Linked DNA regions of Pelodiscus sinensis. The protein of the gene in region 1 binds, or shares a complex with, the protein of each later gene. Links are inferred from orthologs where the notes say so. Each region holds a gene or a part of one and is shown on either strand. Other genes may lie near its edges. The genes, in order: SPTLC1 and ORMDL3.

What was found.
Region 2: the proteins of SPTLC1 (region 1) and ORMDL3 are in contact, whole or in part, in a cryo-EM structure (PDB 7K0N), measured with the Homo sapiens proteins. The link is inferred for Pelodiscus sinensis from reciprocal best matches to the Homo sapiens genes SPTLC1 and ORMDL3. Residues at the interface, in NP_006406.1 of Homo sapiens: Ala16, Leu17, Ala20, Pro21, Tyr23, His24, Leu27, Glu28, Leu31, Ile32, Trp34, Ile35, Leu38, Leu39, Ser41, Lys42, Thr43, Tyr44, Lys45, Leu46, Gln47; in NP_001307730.1 of Homo sapiens: Gly92, Val93, Gln94, Phe95, Thr96, Ala97, Lys100, Thr103, Ile104, Ile107, Tyr110, Phe111, Ser114, Tyr119, Gln121, Phe124, Thr128, Leu131, Met132, Leu139, Pro140, His143.

The regions. Positions count from the first base shown.
Region 1 is NC_134716.1:49,113,042-49,123,268, forward strand, and holds the start of SPTLC1 (serine palmitoyltransferase 1), read right to left. Parts: upstream 3,985-10,227; 5' UTR 3,970-3,984; coding exon 3,736-3,969; intron 1-3,735. UniProt on the Homo sapiens protein: Component of the serine palmitoyltransferase multisubunit enzyme (SPT) that catalyzes the initial and rate-limiting step in sphingolipid biosynthesis by condensing L-serine and activated acyl-CoA (most commonly palmitoyl-CoA) to form long-chain bases.
Region 2 is NC_134739.1:11,201,854-11,211,869, forward strand, and holds the start of ORMDL3 (ORM1-like protein 3), read right to left. Parts: upstream 4,409-10,016; 5' UTR 4,261-4,408; intron 1-4,260. UniProt on the Homo sapiens protein: Plays an essential role in the homeostatic regulation of sphingolipid de novo biosynthesis by modulating the activity of the serine palmitoyltransferase (SPT) in response to ceramide levels.

The DNA.
Region 1 (10,227 bases):
TATGAATAAATAAATCTTTGCCTTTCAATAATAGTACCAACATGTAAACTAAGTGTGGAGGTAATAAGACAAGAGACTTACTAAAACAGTAGATTTCTGCCTCAAAAAATAAATGTGGTAGAAATAGTGGACACCAAAACATAACATAGTATGTAACAGCAGAAATAAGTCACAATTTGCAGCAAGCCATCTCCAAGTCAGAACTGGTCAATAATACTGATGAGAATTTATACCATGTGCTAAAGGTGAATGTAAAATCTGACCATAGATGGATACTAGATTTACCTCGAGACACAACTGTCACTATGCTTTATCTTTGACATGACAAACTATGCATAGTTTGTCAATATAGGAATATAGCAAATGCTATTCCAGATCAGACCCCACCTACATCTACTCCAGCATCCAGTCTCTGATTGGGATGTTAAATATCAGTTAATTGAATAGTTGAGTAACTTCATGAATTCTTATCGGTTAGTTGACTATTCTATAGTCCCTAGGGGTGGGGCCAGCAGCCAGTATATTCCAGCCTCACTCCTGAGTCACTGCCTTCCACTCTGTGCTGCTGCCTCTGTATCCTATGGTAGCAAGTTCCACAGTCAAATGACAGGTCATATAAAAAAATAGGGATGTAAAAATAATAAAAATATTGTTACTGATTAAAGGGGGTGAAGGTGGGAGGGGCCACTCTAGCCCAGCTGCAGCATGGCCCTCTCCTCTAGGCAGCCCCTGCACCTGGAAGGCCAGAGTGCCCCATAGGCAGGGACTACCACGGCATCCCAGCAGGAGCAGACCCTACCTGCAGGGCAACTGCACAAGCCATGGACAGAGCTTGGTATGGCCAGGACACCAATACAGCTCCCTGCTTATGGGGTGCACTGGCCTGCTACAAGCAGGTGCTGTACCAGCCCAGCTGAAGAGGCAGCCTCTACCACTTAACCAACTAAACATGCATATTGCTAACCAACTAAACATGCATATTGCTAATAAGACAAGAAGTCCTTTTATTAGTTGCAAATTTCTTGCTTTTTAATTTGGCTGAATGTCACCTTGTACTTGGATCAGGGCATTCCTGATCTACTGTTAGTGTATCTCCAAGCCACTACTCATTCAATTTGTTCTTCTCTGAGCCCTGCTTACATCTCCAAGAAGTGAGCCAGGGCACTGATCGCCAGCTATCGCACCCTTAGACTGGTTCACTGCCCAATTCCCTGTGGGCAAAGCAATGGATTTCAGGAAGGCAGATTTTGGTAAGCTCAGAGAGCTGGTAGAGCCATGAGAAGCAAGACTAAAGGGAAAAACAACTGACAAGAGTTGCCAGTTTTTCAAAGGGACATTATTAAGGGCCCAAAAACAAGCTATTCCGCTGCATAGGAAAGACAGGAAGTACGGCAAAAGGTCACCTTGACTTAACCAGGAGATTTTGCATGATCTAAAAATAAAAAAGGAGTCAGAGTGGAAACTAGGACAAATTACAAAGGATGAATATAAACAATGCAGGTATGCAGGGAAAAGATTAGAAAAGCAAAGATACAAAACAAGCTCAAACTAACTACAGACAAAGAGAAACAAGACAAGATTCTATAAATATATTGGAAGCAAGAGGAAGACCAAGGACAGGGTAGTCCCACTGCTCAGTGAGGAGGGAGAAACAGTAACAAGAAACTTGGAAATGGAAGAGGTTAATTACTTCTTTGTTTCGTCTTTACCAAGAAGTCTGATGATGAAGGAATGCCTAACAGTGAATGCTAGTGGGGAAGAGGTAGGTTTAGAAGATAATAATAATAAAAAAAGAACAAGTTAAAAATCACTTAGAAAAGTTAGATGTCTGCAAGTCACTAGGGCCTGATAAAATGCATCCTAGAATACTCAAAGAACTGATAGAGATCTGAGCTTTTAGTTATCTTTGAAAAATCATGGAAGACAGGGGAAATTCCAGAAGGCTGGAAAAGGGCAAATATAGTGCCCATCTATAAAAAGAGAAGAACAGACCAGGAAACTACAGATCAGTCAGTTAAATTTCTGTGCCAGGAAAGATAATGGAGTAAGTTACTAAGGAATTTATCTGCAAATACCTGGAAGATAATAAGGTGATAGGGAACAACCAGCATGGATTTATAAAAAACAAATCATTTCAAACCAATCTGATAGCTTTCTTTGACAGGATAAGAAGTCTTGTGGATAAGGGAGAAGCAGTGGATATGGTATACCTAGACTCTAGTAAGGCACTTGATACAGTCTCACATGATATTCTTATCAATAGGGCTCGCTGAACCACAGCGAGCCCCGCTTGCCAGCCACGCTGTCCGGTGATCTGTGAATGTGCAGATCCTTCTGCGCATGCACAGATCGCCCAAACCCGGCTCTTCCAGGTTGCAATCTACTCACCACAGGCGAGTAGCTTGCATTATTTGTTGAGCCCTGCTTATCAATAAACTGGGCAAATAAAACTTAGATGGGGCTACTATAAGATGGGTGCATAACTGGCTGAATAATCACTCTCACAGTAGTTATTAACAGTTCACGATCCTGCTGGAAGGGCATAACAAGTGGGGTTCTGCAGGGGTCTGTTTTGGACCGGTTCTAGTCAATATCTTCATCAACGATTTAGATATTGGGATAGAGAGCATGCTTATTAAGTTTGCAGGGTTGCAACTACTTTGGAGGATAACTCAAAATGAGCTGGACAAATTGGAGAAATGGTCTGAAGTAAATTGGATGAAGTTTCATATAGACAAATGCAAAGTACTCCACTTAGGAAGGAACAATCAGTCTCACACATACAGAATGGGAAGCGACTGTCTAGGAAGGAATACTGAAGAAAGGGATCTAAGGGCTAGAGTGGACCACAAGCTAAATATGAGTCAACAGTGTGACTGTTGCAAAAAAACCAATCATAATTCTGGGATGCATTAACAGGAGTGTTGTGAGTAAAATACGAGTACTCATTCTTCCACTTGAAGCCTAATCAGAGTAGATGCGCTGATTAGGCCTCAAGTGGAGTACTGTGTCCAGTTCTGGGCACCATATTTCAAGAAAGTTGTGGAGAAATTGGAGAAGGTCCAAAGAGGAGCACAAGAATGATTGAAGATCTAAAAAGCATGACCCATGAAGGAAGACTGAAAGAACTGGGCTTGTTTAGTTTGGAAAGGAGAAGACTGAGAGGGGACATGATAGGGTCTTTGGTATCTAAAAGGGTGTCACAAGGAGAAGGGAGAAAAATTGTTCTCCTTGGCCTCTGAGGATAGGACAAGAAGCAGTGGGCTTAAACTGCAGCAAGGAAGGCTTAGGTTGGACATTAGGAAAAACTTCTTAACTGTCAGGGTGGTTAAACACTGGAATAAGTTGCCTCGGGAGGGTGTGGAATCCCCATCTCTGGAGATATTTAAGAGCAGGTTAGATAAAGGTCTATCAGGGAGGGTCTAGATGGCACCAGGTCCTGCCATGAGGGCAGGGGACTGGACTCTCCAGATCCCTTCCAGTTCTAGCGGTCTAGGATCCTAAGATCAGTTACACGAACCCACCATGCCCCAGCGCCAAGGAGATTCCTGAGCCGGGCCCCAACCACCACCCTCCATGCCCCTCCCCCAGCGTGCCCCGCTGCCAGACCCGCGCAACTTAAGAGGACCTGCCCACCCCCCAGGAAGCAGGGGGGCGGGGAGCTACTGCGCTCTCGGCCAAAGCAGCGCCCCCGCCGGTGCCACCAGCGCCCGCTCCCCAGGGCGGGAGTCTCACCTCATAGAAGGCCTGAACCATCTCCACCAGCACCCACTGCTGCCCCGTCCCCGCCGCCGCCATCGCCTGCGCCGCTTCCAGGCCGCGGCGCGCACTGACGTCAGCCGGCGCAGGCAGAACCGGGGGAGACGCTGATACGTCACTGAGCCGTGACCACGCCCTTCCCCGCCGCGCCCCCGAAACCCGCGTGTCGTTAAGCAAGGACCTGGGGAGGGGAAGGCGGGGCGGGGCCATTGGCCGCTGCGCGCGCGGGTCCTAGCGCCGCTGCGCTCGGCGCGCCCCACGGGCATAAATCGGCCCCTGGCCTCCTCCGTGCTCGCCGACAGGCCTGCGCAGCGCCTCTTGCGCACTGGGCAGGGCCGGCAACTGGCCGCGTTTGCTGCCTTTACCTGCGCGAGCAGCGGCCCCGCCTTCACTGGGGGCACCCGGGCCGTGACCCAGGGTCCTAGCGGTGCAAATTTCTGCCGAGGGCGGGTGTCAAGAGCTGTGAGGAATATACATTGTCCTCGTTTGTAATAGGGGGCTCGAGTCCCTGCTGGATCCGCTTTACGTGCGTGTCGCTAGTTCTGCGTAGTCCCTGACACATCACAATACACCTCTTTCATTTAAATAACCTCGTGACTGAATGTCTACAATAAACCAACTTCCTCCTTATGGTTAACACTGGTCTGTCCCTTAGTCTGTGTCCCGTGCGTGAGAGAGGGGGATAACGAAGCTCTGCGTGTAAGACAGAACAGGGGTACGAGCAGGGCTACTGCTGCCAATCAGTGACAGGACAACGTGCAGGAGAGACACGAAGAGCAGAGATGAGGGAAAATATTATGCATTGAAAGAAGAAAACACAACTGTCCTGATCCCAGAACTAGAGCAAAGAGATAGCCATGCTTAAGTACGCATTGCACCATGGGAGGAGGGAAAAGTTGAGGGCAGAGTGTTGGGAGGCGGCGTTCAATACAACAGTACCTGTAAGAAATTTAAGTGTCAGAGGATCAAAGCAGAGGATTAGAGTAAAGCAGGAGAGAGTCCTCAGAGCAGGAAAGTTTTGGGGCATTCAGGAATAAGGGCAGGGGGGATGTAGGAAGTGCAGGAATCTGGGCACACAAGCTGCACACTTTCTCCTTGATAGGGGAAGAAGAAAAGCAGCAGAGTTCCAGGTGCATGCAGCTGCAACCCCCCTCTAAAGGCTGCAGGTCAAGTCTAGGAGTTGGGGCAGCCATCAACAGGGGAGGAGGGACACACACCTTCAGCCAGATCCTTTCACCTGTCTGGTTGCCTGCTTCTTATCAAAGCATCCTGGAGGAGAGCTCCAGGAGCTGGTTGGGAGCCTCTGCAGCCAAGTGCCCCACCTTCTTTTTGCCAGAGCCCTGCACCGGGGCATGCTGCTTTTCACCTCTGGATTTGGGTCCCCCTGTGGCCGTAGGCCTGCAACGTGTGCCATGTCCTGCAAGCCACCTAGTTGTGCCCCGCTGAACACTATTTCTTTCTTTTTCATGGCGTTGGGGCAAATACTTGAAAACAGTTTCTAGGATTAGTTTTGTTCATTGTCACAAAATTCTTTTATTTAGAACACATTGGGTAATTACTAAACTTCCAAGAAAAGTTATATAAAATTATATGACTGGTTATTGAGCATTGTTCCCCCAAAGGTGCCACCTGCACAGGAACACACCAATAATTTGAGCCCCGCCCACCTCCTCACCAAAGCTGCACAGTGGCTGCTCAACTGTTCTGGGGTGTGAGGCTGCCCTGCCCAAGGAGCAGTAGGGCAGCTACCATGCAGGCCTGGCCCCAGAGCTGGAGCTGCGAGACACGTGGTGGGTGGCAGCTACTCCAGCATCTGGGGCTAGAGCCAGAGCTGCATGGCGGGTGACTGGCAGTTGCTCCTTCAGCAGTCCCAGCTGGGGCCAGGGCCAGAGCTGGGTCACAGGCACGCAGTGGCTGCTCCAGCAGCTGCAGCTGGGGCCAGAACTGGAGCCATGTGGTAGAGAACTGGTCTGGCAGATGTTCTGATGGCCCTATTGGGGCCAGAACCGGGGCGGCATGGTGGGGGGTCTGGGGTGCTCCAGCGGCCAGCGCCTGGTAGGGTCACGTGGCAGGGGTGCACTACCTGGGAGAGAGTCTTGGGGAACAGCGCCATTGGTTGCCACAGTGGCACACATCTGAACAAGTGCATATGACCTTGTTGGTGCAGCTGACAAAGCTCACTCTGCTCATGGATGGAAAATCTTAGAGGGAACACTGTTCTTGAGTAAATGTATTTGGCAGAAAGGCTAAAAGGACACTGTGCAGAATCTTTTCATTTCTGTTTTTCACAGTTTGATAAATGTGCCAGATGTTTCTTGACAAGCACTTACAAAACCAAATTTATTTACCGTCTCTCATCACCCTTCCCATAAACCTTGGCCCTCTTCAAACTGCAACGTCTCTCTATCACAACTTAATCAGTTCTAAGTAGCAGAATGATTTAATTGTACATGAAAATGTTAATGATACATATGTTGCGTTCTGTTATGCCACATTTGCTATGACATTGGTAATCCATCACTGATGATGATGACAATATTGTTGCAATTCTCATAGAATGCTATGGATATGACTCCACCAGGCTCATCAACAGAGGGAGTGAAGAGGACAATTGCCCCAGGGCCTGGTGATTCTCAAGGGCCCAGGGCTTGTGGCTGCCACCACTGCTACTGTGGCAGCAGCAGTTGCTGGACTCCTGGGCCTTTTAGAATTGCCATTAGAGTGCCACACCGCGTGCTCCATAAGGGGTGGGGTGGAGACTGGTCATCACATTGTAGCTCCCTCAATGGCTGTTCTGACACCTGCCCAATTGTTGGTTACTTTAATTGCTGTTGTCTCTGAAGATCTAATATATGGCAGGTTCCCCAACTTATAGCACATTTTAGTGACAATCATATAACACAATCTCCTAACTTCATATGCACCAAAGATTTGTTTCAGAGAGGTAGCTGTGTTAGTCTGTTTCAGCAAAAACAACAAGGAATCCAGTGGCAACTTAAAGATTAACAATTTTACTAGGGCTTAAGCTTTCATGAGTTGCAACTCACTTTGTCACATGCATGAAGTGAAAGAATCTGTATCCCTACCATCTGATTCTTTCACTTCATGTATCTGACACAGTGAGTTGCAACTCACAAAACCTTATGCCCTAATAAAATTGTTAGTCTTTAAGGTGCCACTGGATTCCTTATTGCTTTTACTAAAGAGACATATATTTAGATAAAACAATGGGTTTCAGCTGTTCATGAATTTTCCCCTAATATTGTACATGGCATGCTTTATATGCAAGATCGCAATTATATACAAAATAGGGAATAAGGGGGGGATACAAGGTGCCCCCCCGAGTTATATAGAGTGTCACGTTGCTCTTCAGATTATCTTTGAAGAGCTTATATGGAAAACCTTTCATTTGTCCAGATTCAGCTGCCCATACAATATCTGTTTTGGGAGACAGTGGTCTTCCATTCTGATGACATGGCCAGTCCTCCTAAGTTTGCTCACAGAGAGGCAACAAGGTGGGGGAGACAGGACCTTGTGGTTGCGGGAGCTGGCTTAAAAGTTGGTTTCGCCCCAGCACTGTCTCTGCAGTACCGCTCTGTCTGCCTCCTGCTGCCTCTATTACAGCCAGCGGGGAGAGAGGAGAGGTCTGAGGAAGGATAGGGGAGGTTGCTGCAAAGCAACAACAAATCTCGCATTGATCTGGGATGCTGCACCTCTACATTTCAAGTGCAGAGCCATAGTGCTGGTGGCTCCCGGAGCCGGCATGAGCCAGGACTGCTCAATTCCAGCTCAAGCTGGCTCCTGGAGCTACCCCCACTGTGGCTCTGCAGAGCGGTCCTTATCGACACATCACGTAATCGATACAATATGTATCAACTACACAATTAGCCAGATAACCTCAATTTAATATCCTTAGTGCCAGATGCTTCAGAGGGAATGAACAGAACAGGACAATTAATGAGTGATCCAACCCCTGTCATCCAGTCCCAGCTTCTTGCAATCAGAGGTTTAAGGTCACCTGGAGCCTATGGCTGCATCCCTGATCATATTGCCTAATAGTCATTGATGGACCTATCCTTTGTGAACTTATCTAATTCTTTTTTTAACCCAATTATACTTTTGACTTTAACAGCATCCCTGGCAATAAAATCTACAGGTTGACTGCATTGTATGAAGAAGTATTTCCTTATGTTTGTTTCAAACCTGCTGCCTATTAATTTCATTTGGTCATCCCTGATTCTTATGTTATGTGAAGGGGTAAATACCACTTGCATATTCATTTTCTCCATGCCGTTCATAATTTCATATCTTTCTTTAATTGTATCTTTTCAAAGATGAACAGTCCCGGTCATCATACAGAAGGTATGTCTACACAGCAACATTATTTTGAAATAACTAGCGTTATCAAATAACTTAGTCCATGTCTACACAGTAGGAAGTTATTTCAAAATAATTGTGAAATACTGTCAAACTGGAGGACTTCTTACTCCGACTCCTGTCACCCTCATTGTACAAGGAGTTAGGGAAGTCGGAGGAAGAGTACTCTATTTCAAAATAAGTGCTGTGTAGATTCTCCCAATTTTGAAATAAGCTATTTCAAAATAAGCTATGCAATTGACATAGCTCAATTTGCGAAACTTATTTCAAGTTAAGCCCTGTGGGGGGAGACACCCAAAATCTCATCCATATCCTTACTCATTTTTTGCACTTCTCTGTACCTTTTCCAGTTCTATTATATTTTTTGAAATGGGGGCAACAAGCACTGCATATCTCATTCAAGGTATGGGTGTATCATGGATTTCTAAAGTGGCATTACGATATTTTCTGAATTACTGTCTATCTCTTTTTTAATAGTTCCTAACAATATGTTGGAAGCCTCCCAGAAGAATTGGCAGAAACCACATCAGGTGTGACTTTTAGAACTAAACTAGAAAAGCATTAAAACAACAGGGTGCAATCCTGCACTGGCAGAGAGAAGGACTGGATGATCTAATTGGTTTCCTATAAATTCTATAACCAAGTTCAGCTGGGAGTTTGGCATTCAGCCAAGAGGATGTCAGCATCAAGTACAAATGGTGTCCTAACTCAGTTAAGAGCTCAGCCTCAAGCCAAGCAGGCATGCCCCAACACACAGTAATAATGGAAGGTTATTCTGTGGGAAAAACACTTAAGCCTAAAGAAAAAGAGTACTAGAATCTCAAGTTCTACAACTCTTGCCTGCTGATACCAGGAAGAAAAGGAAGATGACTGTTCACTTCATTCTGTGAGCAGACTGATTTAGCATGATTTGAGACTATAAGCTACTACATATTATCTGCAATACATTTGAGAGAGTCTGTCTGTTAGGGTGTGTCTACACAGAATTACCTATACCCCTTCGTCAGGGGTGAGGGTAAAGTGCACAATTTGCTGCATTCTTCACTGTCTGAGGAGCACAAGGGGAAAACAGACTGTGCACTCAGCTCTCACTTCCTGACAAGGACAGAAAAGGGAAGAGCAAGCAGCCTTGGTATGAATCTTGGGAGGACGGCACGAAGCCTGCCTCCACCATTCCTGGTCACCCCACTACACACACACACACAGAATCCCCTTCCCAGAGCCCCTTCTCACCACCTACACCTCCATCCGCCTTCCCTGAGCCCTTCTGAAGGACTCAAACAATGCCAGGTAAATATGCTACAGATTGGACCTCTGTGGTCCAGAACCTTGGGACCTGAGTGGTCTTGGAACAGGGATTTTGCCAGATCACAGGTCAATACTCCCCCCTGCTGGCTGCCCTGCTGCTGGCTCCTCTCCTTGGGCCTTCCCACCCTGCTGCTGTCCTGCTAATGCTGGCTGGCTGGGACTTCCCTTGTTGCCTGTCCTGCTACCACTGGGGATTCCCCTTGCCAGGGCAATAATTTCTTGGCTGCCACCTGGCCCCACTGACGCTGGGGATTCCCTGGCCCTGCTGCAGCTAGCCCAGCCAGGACTCCCCAATACCTGCATTCTCTTGGCTGGCTTCCACTCCTTGCCTCCAGAGCACTTCTGGACCATGGATGTTGCTGGACCAGAGAGTCCTGGATTTGGGAGGTTCAACTTGTAGTAGAGTTATAAGTAAATGTCTGGGCCTATCCTCTGATAAAGCCATTTTGAGCTATTTCAGTAGCACAAAACAACCTTAAAGAAAACCACTGAAAGCAGTCAAAGACTTTTTTTGTTGTGCCTCTACATCCCTTCTACCAGTTCCTCTGGCATTAGAGAAGTATTGGGATAGGAGGAATAGTAATCACATTATACTGCATTTTAGCTATCCCTGATTAATGCAATGGCTCCTTGGGAATAATTACAAATGGGCATAAATGAAAAGAGCCTTGATCCTGTTCTAATTTATAATGGGGGCTGAATTGACCTCTAGCTGCTTGTGGTCTTGAGGGAGTGCAATGCTTATGTAAACCTACCTTGTCCTCTTTTAAGATCCTGCACTAA
Region 2 (10,016 bases), on another chromosome or scaffold:
GGCAATCACTTTTTGCACCCACTTTACACAGGTAGGAGTTAGGGATGTTAAATGTCGGTTAATCGATAAGTCGAGTAACCTCATGAATTCTGATCAGTGAGGTGACTATTCTATAGTCCCTGGGGGCGGGGCCAGTAGCCAGTGCACCTCACTCCCCAGGAGCCACCTGCCACTCCATGCTGCTGCCGCTGTATCAGAGGCAGCAGCACGGGGTGCCAGGCAGGAGCTGGTCTGTGAAGGGAGCCAGGTTAAAAATCTGCTCTGGTCACGATCCGGCTGCCTGTCACCCTGTGCTATCGCCTCTGATAGAGGCAGCAATGGCAGCAGCCCTTGTCGGGGGTGGGGGTCTGAGCTACCAGACCTGGCACAAGCTGGAACTGAGCAGGGCTGTCTGTCTGCCCAGCTCCTAATACACTTTAAATGCAGAGCTGCAGCCAGGGTAGGTCCCGGTATGAGCCAGGACTGAGCCGAGCTGCTGGCCAGCTTGCTATAGAATTCACTGGGGGGGAGGGAAGGGAAATGCGTGTAGTCTCTAGCATTAACCTATAAGCTTTTGCTTATCGGGTAATCGACTCCACTATTACACCCCTAATAGGAGTGAGCAGACACGGGGGGATGCAGTGGGGGAAATCAGGTGTGGGATGTGCTGGGAGGTGCTTTCCAGACTGATTGGAAGAGAACACACTAGAGACCAACTCCACCGGGTAGCAAGGAGGAGAGTCTAGGGGGTTTTTGGGAGGGGGGGACTGGAACAGTAATTACTGGTCACACCCCATGCTCACACAAATGCTCTCCAATCAGGCACCGGACAGCCCCCCAAAGCAGCAGCAGCCCAGTTCGACAGGATGCCAAGGTTTCTCCAGAAAGGGGAAGTCGCTCACTCCTCCCCACGCAGCAACCAGCGGCAGTGCTGGACGAAGGGGGTGCCCCTCAGACCACACGGAAGCGCTCGGCTTCTGCCAGCGTCTCCCGTCCGCCCCCGTGCGCGCTCCTTAACGGGAGCGAGGGGCCTGAACTGAAAGCTACAAGCAGGACCGACTCTGGAGTCGCAACTTGCAGCTTCCCAGTCCCGTTTCCAGAACGCATCGTCCGACCGATCCTGAGCAATGTCCGGGTCCAGCCTCGGGGGGTGCCAAGGGAGAAGGGCACCCATCTGGGGTGCTCTTGCTGGAACACGGTTTGCTACAGCAAACACTGACTCAGACTTTTGAGGGGAGCTGGCTGGCATCGCTCGCATCACCCCCCCTCTGATTACCTGAGCCACCTAAGAGATGTTTATGGGGCCCACAGTCACTTCTGGAGGCTGGACTTTCCAGCATAGAATGATCTCATGGAACAGGAGGGGCTCCCCCATTAAAGCTACCAGCAGCTTGAGTTTCCCCTTAGAAACAGCAACATGGCTGCAGAACAGTATTGTTTAGCCATGCTGTGGTAGCATTTAGGAGCCACAGGCCTGGGTCAGCACCAGACCCTGTGGTGCTTGGAGCTGTACAAGCACAAAATAAAAATGGCTCCTGCCTCAAAAAGTTGGCAACCTAAGGGAGGTGAAGATTGCAGGCCGAGGTGGGCAATTGTTTTCATGGAAGGGGGGGGGGGGGAATTCACAAATTTTGGTATGTAATCGCAGGCCACCTCTGCCCCCCCTTGAAGGGGCGGGGCTTTGGGTGGAAGGGCTGGGGCTAGAGAGAGTGTGTGTGTGACATTTTATGTGTGAGAAATAGACTTTCTGACACAGATTGAGTACGTGCGGCAAAGGGACAGGAAAGTATGCGTGGCAGTGTGGATGTGACAGTGATTGTGTGGGGGGGGGCACAGACTGGGAGTGGGTGCTGGCTAAGTTTGAGAGAAGCCACCTCTGTTTCTTTAAGGAAAATCTGTCCTAGTCTGCTGCCCGCCCCCTCACTGCTATTTCACAGGCTTGATTTGTACAACTCTGCTGACTGTGTGTCTCCATCTACAACCCCTGCTCTGCAGAAATGGGGTACAGGGGAGGGGAACACCCTGACTTCAGCCAGTTCCTGCACAGTTAGCAGGAAAATCCTGGGAGCCAGGTGGGAGGAGGGGCAGCCGAACACACACTGCCAGCTGTAAGTCTGCACCTCTGCTAATCAGCTGGGAAGGCCAGAGGGAAATACTTGGGGCCAGATCCAACCCCGGGGCCGGAGTCTGCCCACTCTTGTGGCAGGCTGTGCTGGAGAAGCATGCTCAAGAGGCAGGAGTGGGGGAGAGGAAGCACTTACCAGAGCCAGAAGTGAACTCCCTATAGGGGCTTCACATCCCAGCTGTCCAGCCTAGAGACTAAGTGAAGGTCCCACGGACAGAGCAGGCCTCCCCTGGGGATTTCCCACAGCTGCGCCCGCCCGAGATAGCTACTGCCAAGAAGCTGTGGGTATTACAGGCTGTTTGCCTGTAAGCTGCGGAAGGGCTCTGCTCTCCCCACCTCCTGCTCCCCCCCCCCCCCACCATTAACCTCTTTGTGACAATTCAGGGACCTGTCGCTGCCCAGCTGTGCAAGTTCATTCCACAATATTGCACAATAGGGAACCGCTGCCGGCGCAGGTTCCCTGCTCTAGCGGCACAACTGGATGGGATCTGATCTCAGGGCTCAGCTGAGAGGCTCTGGGTGACTCACTGAGGGGAGGACGAAGGGGGATGGGATACAGAGCCATTCACCTGGAGGTCACGGGTTCAAATCCAGCTCAGGCTGGCAGAGAAGTTGGACCTTTCTGGATCGAATGGAGGTGCCAGCCACAGGGGAGACCCCAAAGAGGCTGTCACAGGTAGGGACCAAAAGGCCTCAGTAGGTCAGTGATTGTGGGGGGATGGGGCTGGATTTGTAGGGGACTTCTCAGGACTGTATCTCTTCTGTGGAGAGCCTAGAACTGGGGCTAACTTGCCAGCAAGTCACCCCTCTCTGGAGACCAGCAGCCCCTCCTTCCATCACCCCCCCCAGAAAGCCGGAGATGCTGCCACTGACTGCGCAGAACGCTCTCAAATCTCCACCCCTCTCCTGCAGGGATCCCAGCTGTGTTTTGGCTTGTTGCTTTCCAGGCTCCCCCAAAGAGCCATGGTTCCTCTGGGGACCTTCCTTGTGCTGCCTGCAGAGTTTGGTAAAAGGCAGCCTGGAAGCTCCAGCTCCTACCCCCGCCCTAAACCCTCAGCTCGACACAGCAAGCCACTCTGGAGCGCTGAGATACGGTCCAAAGGCCTAACACCAGACATGCACAAAAAAACAGCCAAAGGTCGCGGTGCCCTGGCAGGCTTCCCAGCCTCCCCCCACCCAGTAGGCACTGCTCTCCCAGCCGGCTTTCCAACATCTCGTGGCAGGTTTCCCAGAACTGCCCCCATTCCAGCTCCATTGCCCAGAATCCAGCACCCCCACTCTCTCTTAGCCCCCTGCTCCTTCCCTTCCATCACTGGGACTTCTCCCAAGCCTGGCACCCCAACACCCTTGCCTCTCCCATCTGCTCCCCACAAAGCCTACACTGCTCTGCCCTGGTTCCCCACATGTCCCTGCAACCCTCTACTCCAATTCCCCCCCGCAGTTCCTTCCCCTCCCAGGTCCCCGAATCACTGGATTCTCCCCACCCCTTAGTCTCCTGCATCTCCCAGGGCCCCCCCAGTTTCCCTTCCCCTCCCAGGTCCCTGCACACCCTTCCCCAATACCCCCCCCCCCAGTCCCTTCCTCCCTTTGCCCCCAGTCTCCCTTCCCCTCCCAGGTCCCCCCAAGTCCCTGCAGCCCCTTAGCCCCACATCCCTTCCCCTTCTGTATCCCCCCCAGGTCCCTTCCCCTTCTGGGTCCTCCCACAACCCTGCACCCCTTTGTCTCCAGATCCCTTCCCCTCCTGGGTACCCCCAGGTCTCTGCACCCCTTTGTCTCCAGATCCCTTCCCCTCCTGGGTACCCCCAGCTCTCTGTACCCCTTTGTCTCCAGATCTCTTCCCCTTCTGGGTCCCCTAGGTCTCTGCACCCCCCTTGTCCCCAGATCTCTTCCCCTCCTGGGTACCCCCAGGTCTCTGCACCCCCTTGTCCCCAGATCTCTTCCCCTCCTGGGTACCCCCAGGTCTCTGCACCCCCCTTGTCCCCAGATCTCTTCCCCTCCTGGGTACCCCCAGGTCCCTTCCTCTTTCGGCTCCCCCCGAGGCCCCTGCACCCCTTTGCCTCCAGGCCCCCCCAGGTCCCTTCCCCTGCCGGCTCCCTGCACCCCCCAAGTCCTCTTCTAGGTCCTTGTGCCCCCCGCACGCCCCAGCCCCTGCTCACCGCGCAGCCGGCTCTCGGCCCGCCGCCCCGGGCTCGCCGTGGGGGTCTCTCCCCGCCGCCCGGCTCCGCTCCCCGCCGCCGCTGAAGACAACACAGCAGCTGGAGGCCCCGCCCGCGCGCCCCAGCAACCCACGCGGCCGCGGGGCGCCCTGGGAAATGTAGTTCCTCCGGGTTGGCCGGGACTCCCACATGTCCCATGGCTCCAGGCCGGGCTGCGCCGCTCCGCGTCCCCTGCCGCGCCGCTCGCTGCCCTGTGGTTATCATGAGTCTTTCGTGTTCTCCTTCATTTTAGTATTTCCCCGTGCATGGGTTCCCATTCTCTGATTTTTTTTTTAATTAAAACCACGAGGACTCCTGAGGCAACTTAAAGACCAACAGATTTATTTTGGAAAACCTTAAAAAACAACAAATGGTCCGGTAGCACTTTAAAGACTAACAAAACATGAGCTTTCGTGGGCACAGCCCACTTCTTCAGATGACCAGAGTGTTGGAAGTCCAGGAACAAGAATAAATAAGGGAAGGAGGGAGGAGGAGTGGAGGGAAGGAACAAAATTGGAGGGGGGCTGGTAGATAAGTTTCAAAGGGATAGCCCAGCCAGTCCGTAACAGGAAAAACTTAAAAAACAGTTAAATAGTTAAAAGAGGCTGATAAGAACCATTCGTTTGCACTAGGAAAGGAAGAGTGTTTTGGCAGCTGCTTTTGTGGGCAAAACCCCCACACCATCAGATCCGACTTGCCCACGAAAATTTATGTCTAAATAAATCTGTTAGTCTTTAAGGTGCTGCAGGACTCCTCATTGTTTTAATAAAAAAATAATCAGAGAATGGGAACCCATTTTGTTTTTGCAGCTCCAGACTAACATGGCCTCCTCTCTGATCTTTTATTGTGTGCACGCACCTCCGTGATTCTCTTGTGACTTGTCAGCCTCCCACGCTTGGCCTTTTATTGCGTTATGGTTTGCTGACCATCAGCAGCATGCCCGCCGCTGCACGGTACGCACTTTAGGCCAGCAAAAAGCTACAATCCTGATCTTATGCCCACATCACTTTCATAGAATCATAGGACTGAAAGAGACCTCAGGAGTCATCAAGTCCAGCCCCTGCCCAAAGCAGGACCAATCTCAACTAAATCATCCCAGCCAGGGCTTTGTTAAACTGAGACCTAAAAACCTCTAGGGATGGAGATTCCACCACCTATCATGAATCCCTTGAAATCATTGTAGTAGTAAAAACAACAAGGAGTCCTATGGCATCTTACAGAGTAATTTATTAAGACATACGTTTTCGCGGGCTGGACCCCACTTTGTCAGATGCAAGTAATCTTTAAAGTGCCACAGCCCCATTAGTTTTGCTGAAACAGAGTAACACGGCTACCCCTCTGAAATTTGTAGTAAAGTTAAGCATGGGAATAAATGCTTGCAGAACTGGAAGTGGAAGTGTGTACTTAATAAGATGGTGTGTCAGTAAACATACAGAATTCAGTGGGGCTGCCCCCATGCTACAAGGGGCAGCGGCAAAAACAGTCTTTGCCCTGAAGAGCGTACATGGTCTGTGAGCTCAGTCCTGCAAACGCTCATCTCTTTACTCACAAGAGCCAGACTGGAGCCTGCATTGGGTGGAGCCCGTTCCCAGATGGCCCTCAGCTAAAATCAAATGGGGCTCTATGCAGTTATGAGGCTCCAGCTGCAGGAATGAGAAATCAAGTGAGTAAAGAAGTCCACAAGTAATGCACATTGGAAAAATAACCCCAAGTATACATACAATATGATGGGCGCTAATTTAGCTACAACTAATCAGGAAAGAGATCTTGGAGTCATTGTGGATAGTTCTCTGAAGACGTCCACGCAGTGTGCAGCAGCAGTCAAAAAAGCAAACAGGATGTGAGGAATCATTAAAAAATGGATAAAGAATAAGACGGAGAATATCTTATTACCCTTCTATAAATCCACGGTACGCCCACATCTGGAATACTGCATACAGATGTGGTCTCCTCATCTCAAAAAAGATATACTGGCATTAGAAAAGGTTCAGAGAAAGGCAACTAAAATGATTAGGGGTTTGGAATGGGTCTTATATGAGGAGAGATTAAAAAGATTAGAGCTTTTCATCTTGGAAAAGAGGAGACTAAGGGGGGATATGATAGAGGCATATAAACTCATGAGTGGTGTGGAGAGCATGAATAAGGAAAAGTTATGTACTTGTTCCCATAATATAAGAACTAGGGTCCGCCAAATGAAACTAATGGACAGCAGGTTTAAAACAAATAAAAGGAAGGTCTTCACACAGCGCACAGTCAACCTGTGGAACTCCTTGCCTGAGGAGGTTGTGAAGGCTAGGACTATAACAAGGATTAAAAAAGAACTAGATACATTCATGGAGGTTAGGTCCATTAATGAGTGGGTAAGGAATGGTGTCCCTAGCCTCTGTTTGTCAGAGGGTGGAGATGGATGGCAGGAGAGAGATCACTTGATCATTACCTGTTCAGTAATTGACCACTGTTAATTAGACAGGAGACTGGGCTGGATGGACCTTTGGTCTGACCCAGTGTGGCCGTTCTTATGTTCACATTGCAAAGACGCAGCAATTGTGATATAAGCTGAAGGTAGGCAGGGTAAGGCAGCTGTTGACAGAAGGGTGGTGGTGTGGCTTAAACGGGTGTACTTGAGCGGGGCCACGATGCAGCCCCAGTTGGGCCCTGCCCCCACCAGCTTCCCTTGGGCTAGAGCTGACACCAGCTGAATGTAGGGTAGATAAGGCATCAGTCTCTGGACTGTGGGGTTGTGGCCCTGGCAGCCACCACCCCTTGCCCTGGCTGGAGCTGGCATCTGCTAAAGGTGGGGTGGTCCCACCAGTGGGGGGTCTAGGATGGAGATTGTGTGTAGAAGGGCACATGGGGTAAAGGACTGGGATGCAGAAGGCAGGCTGCTGAGGGTAGGAAGTAGAGCATGGGGAGGTGGCGTGAGATGGGTTACCTTACCTGGCTGAGGCTGGGCTACCTGCGCAGCATGAGCTGGATGAAAAGCAGGGCCAGGATCGCCACAGGCGGAGCATGGCCTCCCCCCCTACCCATGCTGCAGCAGAAGGGGTGCCACCTGCAGCCACACGGGGGCCAGACTGGGGCAGTCAGATGGGGGTTGGTGCTGGGCCAGAAGCCAGATGGAGGTATCTGCTGCCGCCCGCCCCTCTCGTTGTCCCAGGTTGGAGTGTGCCCTCCGCTGGCCCTTGAAAGGAACAGAGTGCCCCAGCCGGCTCTTACCCGGGCACAGCGCCTCCCTTTCACCTCTGGGTCAAGGGAAAATAGACCAAAAAAGCCCCTCTTGACCTGAGTTATTGTCCCTGTTTCAAATTTTGAATTAATTTTTCATTTTAAAGAACTCATCGCCCCTCTCTTAAGAGTGGGGGGTTGACCTGGGGGCGTTTGGTCAAACTTTCCCTCCCCATCCCGCAGGTTTGTGCGAGTTGGCTGTTGGCCTCCACCCCCGAGGTGGCTGCATTTCAGTCCCGCCATGTACACGCTGTCTGTACAGCCCTTTGGAATCCTATGGAATTAGGTGTGCTATAACAACAGGAAATAATTAACATAAGCTGTTAATAGAAATAATAATTGCAGGTAATTTAGTGTTCTACCAGCTGTGGCTGTGATCCAGAAAGCACTTAAGCATGCCCCTTATTTTTAAACCAACGAGAAGTTCTGTTGACCTCCCTTGAACTGCTCACGTGCTTAACGTTAAGCAGGTGCTTAAATGCTTTGCAGGGCCAGGGTCTGAGACTGTGTGTGTGAAATAACCATTCACTAACCAGTGGCACTGTGCCACCCCTGTCCAACAATCCTGCAATTTACAGTCGGATGCACTATGGCATCTTTGGGCCAAGGTCGGGAGCTTGTCTCCACTCTGAATTCTGCTAAAAGGGAGCCCGTCTGAGCCCTGCATTAATAATCAGCAATTAATGGTGCTAAATAATCAGAACTAAGCACCTTGGAGCTAAAGTCCAGCAATAGGCGTATTCTTTTGCATGTTTTGTGCGGCTTGTGAGCTTTTCCCACCAAGCAGCAGCAGAGGGTGCCAGGCTGTTAAATGTCTGACAGAGATGCAGTTCATCTGGAGAACAGGTTTCCAAATAACAGCCTGGCACCCCCTGCTGCTGCTTGGTGGGAAAAGCTTACAAGACGCACAAAGCATGCAAAGGTCTATGCCTATTGTGAGGGATACGATCGAGGTTTATAAAATCATAACTGGTGAGGAGAAAGTGAGTAAGGAAAAGTTATTAACTTGTTATAAGAAGTAGGGGTCACCAAATGAAATGAATAGGTAACAGGCGTAAAACAAATGAAAGGACCTTTTTCTTCACACAGTGTACAGTCGACCTGTGGAACTCCTCGCCAGAGGATGTTGTGAAGGCCAGGATTTTAACAGGGATCAAAAAAGAACTAGAGAAATTTATGGAGCTTAGGTCCATCAATGGCTATTAAGCAGGATGAGCAGGAGTGGTGTCCCTAGCCTCTGTTTGTCAGAGGCTGGAAATGGATGACAGGAAAAGGATCATTTGATGATTCCCTGTTCTGTTCACTCCCGCTGGTGCACGTGGGAGACAGGGCACCGGGTTAGATGGATCTTTGGTCTGACCCAGTGTGGCCGTTCTTATGTCCTTACTATTCCAGCCCTACGCTCCTGCACACTGGGCTGTCAGTCCCCTTCCGCCCCTACTTACTGAATTTCATTTCAGCCCAATTTTTCATCTGTTCTTTTTTTTTCCACCCTCACTGTGCAAAAATTAGCCACAGACACTTTGTTCTCTTGGACTGGAGTTCAAGCAGCAAGAACAACAACATGGCGAGCTTGCTGCTGGTGATCTGAATGAAAGTCATTGAGGTTTTCCTGGGCTAGCCCCAGAAATCAATGCAGATCTGCACTTGACAACTCAGCTGCTTTCTGCCGTATCCTAGCCCCGCTACTGCTGAGTTGGAGCCCCCAGTCACGCTCTCAGGAACACATGCAAGGTGTGGCTTGGTCACAGAGAGATGGGTCGTTCCTTGTCGTTTGTCACCTGGCTGTCAGCCGGAGTGATGTTAGCAACCTGTGCCAAACTAGCCAGCCTGTTGACAGGGAGCCGGGGTTAATTTAGGGTTGTGTGTGAGAAGAGTGTGTGTGGCTACGTTAGCGTGTGTGTATGGGAGTAAATTACATTTATGTGGGTGTACGAGACAGCCTCAGCGCACTAGGCGTGCGAGTGAATATGCGTGCGAGTATGGTGCCTATGTGTGCGCGTGCAAATCCGCGTGTTTACGATTGTGTGAATGTGTGTTCTTGTGTGACAGCCCAGCTCTTTCCACCGCATTAATCACACTCGACGTGGCCATTTTGACCTGGGAGATTTTTTTTTAACAATTGCCTAATTACCATCCCGCCCCCCCCGGCATGATTAACCTGTAGCATCTTCCATGACACCACAATTTAGTGCTGCCTGGGTGGGTGTTTTTTTGGGGCATGTGGGCAACTCTTCACTGAGACCCACAAAACTCTCACCGCTGCTTCACTGAAGTGCCAGGCAATGGACCAACGATTCTGGAGCCGTGACAGTGCCATCTCCAGCAGCTGTCCTCGCTCCGCAACCCCAGTGGCCCCTCCACCCCACTTACTGTGAATTTCATGACAGCTGGCATGCAGCGCCTCCAGCTGAGCTCAGGGGCTTGTTACACTAGGCGGGTAGGATTCGCAATGAGCATCAGTCCCTGCCATAAAGAGTTTACAGCAAGAC